Linked DNA regions of Canis lupus familiaris. The protein of the gene in region 1 binds, or shares a complex with, the protein of each later gene. Links are inferred from orthologs where the notes say so. Each region holds a gene or a part of one and is shown on either strand. Other genes may lie near its edges.

The links.
Region 2: the proteins of BRME1 (region 1) and HSF2BP are in contact, whole or in part, in a crystal structure (PDB 7Z8Z), measured with the Mus musculus proteins. The link is inferred for Canis lupus familiaris from reciprocal best matches to the Homo sapiens genes BRME1 and HSF2BP. Residues at the interface, in NP_083321.2 of Mus musculus: Met541, Gln542, Asp543, Ala544, Thr545, Val548, Arg549, Leu551, Val552, Leu555, Ser556, Asn559, Ile562, Met563, Thr565, His566, Leu569, Lys573; in NP_083178.1 of Mus musculus: Glu23, Phe24, Val25, Lys26, Val27, Arg28, Asp31, Leu32, Arg34, Leu35, Glu38, Val39, Gln41, Ile42, Phe45, Leu46, Arg48, Ile49, Glu53, Leu54.

Annotation. Positions count from the first base shown.
Region 1 is NC_049241.1:48,970,998-48,974,802, reverse strand, and holds part of BRME1 (break repair meiotic recombinase recruitment factor 1), read right to left. Parts: intron 1,743-3,805; coding exon 1,661-1,742; intron 1,428-1,660; coding exon 1,317-1,427; intron 1-1,316. UniProt on the Homo sapiens protein: Meiotic recombination factor component of recombination bridges involved in meiotic double-strand break repair.
Region 2 is NC_049252.1:37,529,428-37,533,815, reverse strand, and holds the start of HSF2BP (heat shock factor 2-binding protein), read left to right. Parts: upstream 1-1,446; 5' UTR 1,447-1,533; coding exon 1,534-1,569; intron 1,570-2,411; coding exon 2,412-2,562; intron 2,563-4,388. UniProt on the Homo sapiens protein: Meiotic recombination factor component of recombination bridges involved in meiotic double-strand break repair.

The DNA.
Region 1 (3,805 bases):
TCCCTATACCAAAGAGGCCCAACCATTCTAGGAGGGTCTGCCCTGCAAATATCAGATCACTGAAGGTCAGAGCCTGTCAATCTGGCTTCAGTGAAGCCACTGGCAACCACTCACTGAGTTACACATAGCATTTCCCGCACATTTTCCGTCAAAAGTGAAGCTACGACCCCTCTTATTAGTTAATTTTATTATAAGTAAGCTCTATGCCCAACATGGGGCTCGAACTCACAAACCTAAGATCAAGAGTCAGTTGCATGCTCCACCAACTGAGCTGGCCAGGTGTCCCGACTCCTTTTAGTGAGATCATCATAGATTTATATATAGATATGAGAAACGATGGGGAAGACTCCTCATGCCCTTTACTCAGTTTTCTCCATTGGTAACATCTTGCCTAACTCGAGTATAATATCACAATCCAGATATTGACACTGATAAAGTCCACTGAACTTATCTGGCTTTCTAGCTTGACTTATACCTGTTTACATGTGTGTATGATGTTCTATACAGTCCTCTTGCAGTAGACGTTGTGCATCCACCACACAGATAAGATATAGAAAATCTCCAACACAGGATCCCTTGTGCTGCCAAGTGTAGCCACACTTGCCTCCCTCCCACCCTACCCACCTGCTCCAACTCCCTGCAACCACTAACCTACCCACCATTTCTATAATTTTCTCATTTCAATAATGTTATGCAAATAGAGCCCTACAGCGTATAACATTCTGGGACTGGCTTTTTCCACTCCACATAATGCCCTGGAAATCCATCCAGATTGTTGCGTGTATCACTAGTTTGTATCCTCTTTTATTGCTAGGTTGTGTTCCATGGTGTGTCCAGCCAATCACCCATTGAAGGATATCTGGGTGTTCCCAATTTGGGATGATTATAAACATGGCTTCTGGGAATATCCACCACTCACTTTGGTAGGGGCTTCTGTTGCCAGAGATGTCATCACCCCCAGAGCTCAGAGTGGAAAGGATGAGAATACATTGTAAGACCCACCCCTTGCCCCAAACCACACAAAAGCTTCCAAGAAGTAAAGAGGTTCAGGGATAGAATGTGGGCTGTTTTCTGTGTTTTTACTACTCTCACACAACCTGGGGAAGAAGGCCGCAGCCTTGACCATTTTGCTGCAAGCACAGCTATCCTGAACACCTCATACAGGCCTGTATGAGCATGAGCTCCACAGACATCTGTAGCATGGTGTACTGAAAAGGGGCATCTAGATGAGTGCAGGTCTAGCCAGTGCCAAAGAAAACCAAGGCTGAACTCAGCTGCCAAGGCTGGTCCAAGACGCTTGTGTCTACTGGGCTCACCTGGCTGATTTTAGGGGCTCCACTCCCAAGGTCCTCTTCCTTCAGCTCTGCTTGTCTTGTTGCTGTCTTCCTGAGTTTTGCAAACTGGGGGACATACCTCCTGGCTGAGTTCTGTGAACCAGATACAATAAGAACAAAACAACAATAAAGATAAGGGGAGGAATGAGGTTTCAGAAAGCAAATGCCAAACCAGTTCCTTTCTGGCAGCCTCAATGCAGCCCTTGCCCTCTGTCCCCAGCCCACAGTCCTACCAGTCTGTCAGCATGCTGGTGATAGAGACAAGAACTCCAGCTTAAGGGAGGCAGTGTCATTGGTTCATACATGAGGCCATAAAACAGGCTCACCTGAGAAAGAGCAAAGGGAACCGGCCCCTTTTCTGGTTGCCCAAAGAGCCTGGAGGGAGCTCCTGCTTCCTCATCATGGGAGCTGGGTGGAGAAAGACAAAACAGGAGGTTCTGAAGTCCTGGGAGGCTGTCAGTGCATGTGGTGAGACAAACAGGATGAATCCAAAGGCAAAGTAGTACTCAGTCTCCTGTAAGGGAGGCCCTGGAGCACCTGCTTAGAGAGGGTGGGATGGAGAAGGGGAACAGTGTGCCTAGGGTGACACTTGGCTGCCAAGAAGGGTGTGAAGACCCACACCTAAAATCCAAGCTGTCTGCTCTGGCAGCAGTTTACCCTTATAATCTCAGGAATTGGCTCCTGAGATAAGAATAGGAATTCTCATTTGCAATGACACTCTAACCCCCAACTCTGCAAATTCCAGAGAAAAGGAAGTTATAGACACAAAAAACACAGTATCTAAAAAAGCAAGTGTGTTCGTAATTGCCAAAATGCAGAAGCAATGGAGGCAGCCTTTAGTGGGTAAATTGATACGTAAACTGTGTGCACCCAGACAATGGAATATTATTCAGTACTAAAGAAATGAATTACCAAGCCATGAGAAGACCAAGAGGAAACTTAAATGCGTATTTCTAAGTGAAAGAAGCCAGTCTGAAAGCACTGTATGATTACTACTCTGTAACATTCTGGAAAAGGCAAAACTATGAAGACAATAAAAAGATGGTGCCAGGGTGGGGAAGGGAGGGATGGACAGGATACAGGAACTTTAGGCAGCAAAAATACTCTGTATGAGATTATAATGGTGGATACGTGTCATTCTGCATTTGCCCAAGCCCGCAGAACATACAGCACAGGGATCCCTGGGTGGCTCAGCAGTTTAGCGCCTGCCTTTGGCCCAGGGCGTGATCCTGGAGTCCCGGGATCAAGTCCCACGTCCGGCTCCCAGTATGGAGCCTGCTTCTCCCTCTGCCTGTGTCTCTGCCTCTCTCTCTCTCTATGTCTATCATGAATAAATAAATAAGATCTCTTTAAAAAAAAAAGAGAGAACATATAGCACAGAATGAACTCTAAAGTGAACTGTGGATTTTGGGTGATTAGCATGTGTCACTGCAAGTTCATCCTTGGTAACAAATGTACTGCTCTGGTGGGATGGCAATAATGGGGAGTAGTGTATGAGAAATCTCCATACCTTCTCTCCAATATTACTGTAAACCAAAGTGTCTGGGATTGAGCCCTGTATCAGGCTCCCTGCCCAATGGGGAGATTGCTTCTCCTCCCTCTGCCCTTTCCCCTGCTCGTGCTTGCCTTCTCCGTCTCATGCTCTATATATGTGTCTCTTTCAAATAAATAAAATCTTTTTTTTTTCAAATAAATAAAATCTTTAAAAAAATTTATTGTAAACCTAAAACTACTCTAAAAAAATTAGGTCTTTTTATAAAGCATGTGAGACTTATGGTTATATCTAAATAAATGCAGATGTGTATGTTGCTAAAAAAAAAGATTAAAATCTGGAACTAAAACTTCAAGATTTCAACTTTGGAAGTGAAAGAGGAAAAAGCCTGAAGATACAGTAACAGGTTTAAGTTGTATTGGGGAGCTTATAGAGACAGAATACATCTAGATAGTGATAGCAAGAGTGTTTGAAAAATTTTATTTATTTTTATTTATTTATTTGTTTGTTTGAAAATTTTTAACTGGAATGGGTTGTTTGGGTGGCCTCTAAAGTATTGGCTAAGATTTCATTTCTTGTTTTATTTTTATTTATTTATTATAGTCACACAGAGAGAGAGAGAGAGAGGCAGAGACATAGGCAGAGGGAGAAGCAGGCTGCATGCACCGGGAGCCCGATGTGGGATTCAATCCCAGGTCTCCAGGATCGCACCCTGGGCCAAAGGCAGGCGCCAAACCGCTGCGCCACCCAGGGATCCCTAAGATTTCATTTCTTAACGTAGATGTGTTAAGTTTGCTTTATGTTGTTGTTTTTTTCTGTTATACTTCTATGAACATGGTATTTTTTTTATGAACATGGTATTTTAAAAAAAGATTTTATTTATTTATTTATGAGAGAGACAGAGAGAGGCGCAGAGGGAGAAGCAGACTCCTCACAGGGAGCCTGATGTGAGACTCTATCCCAGGACCCAGATCACGCC
Region 2 (4,388 bases), on another chromosome or scaffold:
AGGTCAGGGTCAGGGTCAGGGTCAGGTCCCGGGGCAGAGGACGGCAGGGTCAGGGTCAGGTCCTGGCGCAGGGGTGGCAGGGTCAAGGCCAGGTCCCGGTGCAGGGCATGTCAGGGTCAGGGTCAGGGTCAGGTTCCGGTGCAGAGGATGGCAGGGCCAGGGTCAGGTCCTAGGTCAGGGGATGGTTGGGGTCAGGGTCAGGTCCTGGGTCAGGGGATGGCAGGGTCAGGGTCAGGTGCCAGTGCAGGGCATGGCAGGGTCAGGGTCAGGTCCTGGTGCAGGGGTGGCAGGGTCAGGGTCAGGTTCTGGGTCAGGGGATAGCAGGGTCAGGGTCAGGTCCTGGGTCAGGGGATGGCAGGGTCAGGGTCAGGTGCCAGTGCAGGGCATGGCAGGGTCAGGGTCAGGTCCTGGCGCAGGGGATGGCAGGGTCAGGGTCAGGTCCTGGGTCAGGGGATAGCAGGGTCAGGGTCAGGTGCCAGTGCAGGGCATGGCAGGGTCAGGGTCAGGTCCTGGCGCAGGGGTGGCAGGGTCAAGGCCAGGTCCCGGTGCAGGGCATGGCAGGGTCAGGGTCAGGGTCAGGTGTAGGGGACAGCAGGGTCAGGGTCAGGTCCTAGGTCAGGGGATGGTTGGGGTCAGGGTCAGGTCCTGGGTCAGGGGATAGCAGGGTCAGGGTCAGGTGCCAGTGCAGGGCATGGCAGGGTCAGGGTCAGGTCCTGGTGCAGGGGTGGCAGGGTCAGGGTCATTGCCAGTGCAGGGGATGGCAGGGGCAGGGACGAGGTCAGGTCCCAGTGCAGGGGATGCCGGGGCTAGGTACAAGACAGATGCAGGGGATAATGGGTTGGTACAGGTCCTGGCATGGGGACAGATTTAGAGTGGTTGTTTGCGAGTGTGCTCTCCTGCCTGGAGAACATTCGGGGGACTTGGGTGTTGTTGGCAACCTGCTGGCCTCAGAAACAGACGAGGTCTTAGTTGTGCAGGACCCAGTACACTGGACCGCGCTGGTGGCACCGATGGTGCACGCTCGGCCCGCGGGGCAGGTGAATGGACCAGGTGGCATCTTCCCGAGCAGGTGGTCGTCTGGGCTACAGGCGGCTGGCTGGGCTGGCCCTCCGAATCCCGGGCGGACCCCCGGAGGAGCCTCGGCTCCGCTGAGCGCCGCCCCTAGCCCAGCGCCCCCCGGGGTCGGGAAGGCCCCCGGGACTGCTTACCTTGCCGCTCAGCCTTGCATCCCCCTGTCCTTCTGCTCTGCAGGCAGCGAGTCTAAAAGCCCGGTTAAGGCAGCAGAGCCGACGCGGAACCTCGCCGAGCCCCACCGCTGCCCCCACCGCTGCCCCCACCGCTGCTCGCCGGGCGGAGGATGCTGCGCCAGCTCCTGGAGGTTCGAGCCTCGCTGCTGCGCGTTCCCGCGCTTTCGGGCCTGCGGGGCCTGCGGGGTCAGAGGGCGCGGCGCGCAGGCGCACGGAGCGGGCCGCAGGGAGCCGGGCCGCAGGGAGCAGGGAGCCGGGAGCCGGGCCGCACCAGCCGGGGGCGGCCATGGGCGAGACGGGCGGCGCCGAGGAGGCCTGCGGGGTCAGTGGGGAGGCCGGGCCCCGGCGACTGGCTGCGTGGTGCCCCCGGAGCGCCCGGGCCGCGCCCACCCGCGCAGGGGGCCCGGGAGGGGGCAGCGGGCGTGGCGGGGACAGTGCGGCCCCGGGGCGTTGTGCGGGGGCCCGGGAGGTGGGGGGACCCGGGCTCGGAGCCGGGCAGTGTCCGGTTCACGGTGAGGGCCGGAGGCGGTCACCCGGCCTGCCCCCCCCACGGCCTGGGCGGGTGGGGAAGATGAACGGAACAGCGGAGGTGCGGGGGGCGCTCCCAGAGGGCCGGGCAGCTGGGCCCGGGGGTGGGGGGGTGAGAGTGAGGGGGGCCCGAGCGTGTCCGGCTGGTGTAGGTCTCGGTTTCCGGGGGTGGGGGTGGGGTGGGGGGTGGGACCGGAGCGTGTCCAGAGCATCAGCCTCGGCCCCCCGCCAGGGGTGGGGGAACGAGTGCCCTGGTGGCCTCGGCTCTCTCGGGGGATGGAGGTGGGGTGTGGGGGTGGGGGACCAGAGCCTGTCCGGAGCCGGGGCTGGCCTCGGCCTTGGGGGGGGGTTGTTGGTGGTGGGGGGACTGAGCTTGTCCGGCTGGCCTCAGCCCCCGGGGGTGGGGGACCAGAGAGCTGCCCGATTTTCAGCCTCGGCTGGGGGGGGGCTGGCATGTGGATGGGAAGGGAGACACTGGCTCCCCCTTTGAAGTGTGCGGAGCAGAGGGCAGGATGGGTAACGAGGAGCTTCTGAAAGCTTTGTGAGCAGGAGGTGTCCAAGGAAGGAAGCCAGCCGACTTGGGCAGCAGTCGTCCGGAAAGACGGTAATAATGGGAAAATCTGCTCCTCCTTTTAGCACGTGGGGACTAAAGAGGAATTCGTTAAAGTCCGGAAGAAGGACCTCGAGCGGCTGACCACTGAAGTCATGCAGATCCGGGACTTCTTACCTCGGATCCTGAATGGGGAGGTGCTGGAAAGCTTCCAGAAATTGAAGATTGTAGAGAAAAGTGAGTCTGACTTGCAGTGAGCAGGCAGGGATGGGACGGCAGTCTGTGCCCGTGGCTGACCTTCCACGAACTGCCACTGTGGCTGCAGTTGGGAGAGTCGGTGGGGACTCAGGGTGAGGTGCCCTGGGGCGCAGAGCTCACACATCCCTAGTAAGCTGGCTGGGGGGAACGTGGCCAGCTCCCTGGGGTCTCCCTTAGTGGCTCCTGTTTCTACCTGCCTCTCATCCTCGGCGTGAAGATTCCATACTCTTAGAATTAGAAAGCTCCACTCTAAAGATTAAGCGTTGGTATAAGTGAAAAATCCTGCCTTGTGGAAACTTTGCATGGAGTTAAAAGTCTCGGTAGAGATACGTGTGTATTTACTTGTTTCTAGGTGAACAGACAAGCCCGTTTCTTGTTTTTATTAAGATTGATTGATTTATTTTAGAGGGAGAGGGAGAGAGTCCCAAACAGACTCTGTGCTGAGCTCTGAGCCTGGTGTGGGGCTCGATCCCACGACCCTGAGCTCATGCCCTGAGCTGAAACCCAGAGTCAGATGCCGCCCTGCCAGCTGCCACCAGTCAGTTTCCAGCCCTGATTTAAGTCTGGAATCCCAGGACTTGTCCATTCAGAGATTGAGATTCACCTTGAGCTCTGACGTCAGGTGTCAGTTTGGGAGCCTTATCGAAGTTCTAAGATTCTGGGACTGATTCTGCGCTTAACTAACATACTAAATTACAGTTAAGTGAGTCTTTGGTGCTTAAGGCTGGTCTAACGCTGTGCATTGGACTCCTCACCATCCCTGAGTGGTCTCTAGGACAAGTGTTTCTTTTCTTTTCTTTTCTTTTTAAAGATTTTATTTATTTATTCATAAGAGACACAGAGAGAGAGGCAGAAACACAGGCAGAGGGAGAATCAGGCTCCATGCAGGGAGCCGACATGGGACTCCAGGATCACACCCTGGGCCGAAGGCGGCGCTAAACCACTGAGCCACCCGGGCTGCCCAGGACAAGTGTTTCTGAGTGGCCCAGAGTGTGTCTCTAGCACTGGTCCAGACAAGAAGATACCTGAATTCAACAGTACACGTTTCTGGCGTGGGCTGATGTACCTGGCCAAGGGCGCAGCCATACATAGTTAGAAGGGAGAACGCTCATGACCACTGCAGTCCCCTGTCCTTACTCCCTCTTTGGAATCCTCAGATTGGGGGTCTCCTCCTACTCATGGCCATGACTCCTCCCCAGGGCTTCCTTGACAGTCTCAGCTCTTGCTGGACTTGACGCTGGTAGCCGTTTGTCTCCCCTTCCTCCATCTGGAGGGCTGTTGCTAGTCTCTGGGTGCCTCACCAACCCCTACCCTCCTCCACACATCTCACCATCTGGGATGTTGTCTCCCATGGAGACCCTGTCGGCTGTGCTCTAGGTCCCTGGTTATACCGTAGCTCTAGACCATTGGCTTCGGAGTCCCTTGTTCTGATCCCGTGCTCAGCCAGTGACCTTCTGAGAGCAGTCAGTCACCTGAGTGCGTTTATCTTCAGGGAAGGAAAGTCCTGACCCGTAGCAGAGCATGCCAGTGGGCTGAGTGGTTATGTCTCAGCAAATTAATGAACTGGCATTCTGAAAACGACATCAGGGTCTCATGAATTGGTTAGCACGAGTCTGGAGATCACAAAATCAAAAATGTATATATGAGACTGAGGGGCACAAAGATTGAATCTGTGGTGATGTGATCAGAGTTAGACTTTAAGAGCTCTTGCCTCGCCGTCCCCAGACCCTGTAGTCATGTCTTCCTGCTCTGGCTGTTTTGTCTTGGTCTACTTTGCTGACGTGTCCTCTGCAGCAGCCTTTCGG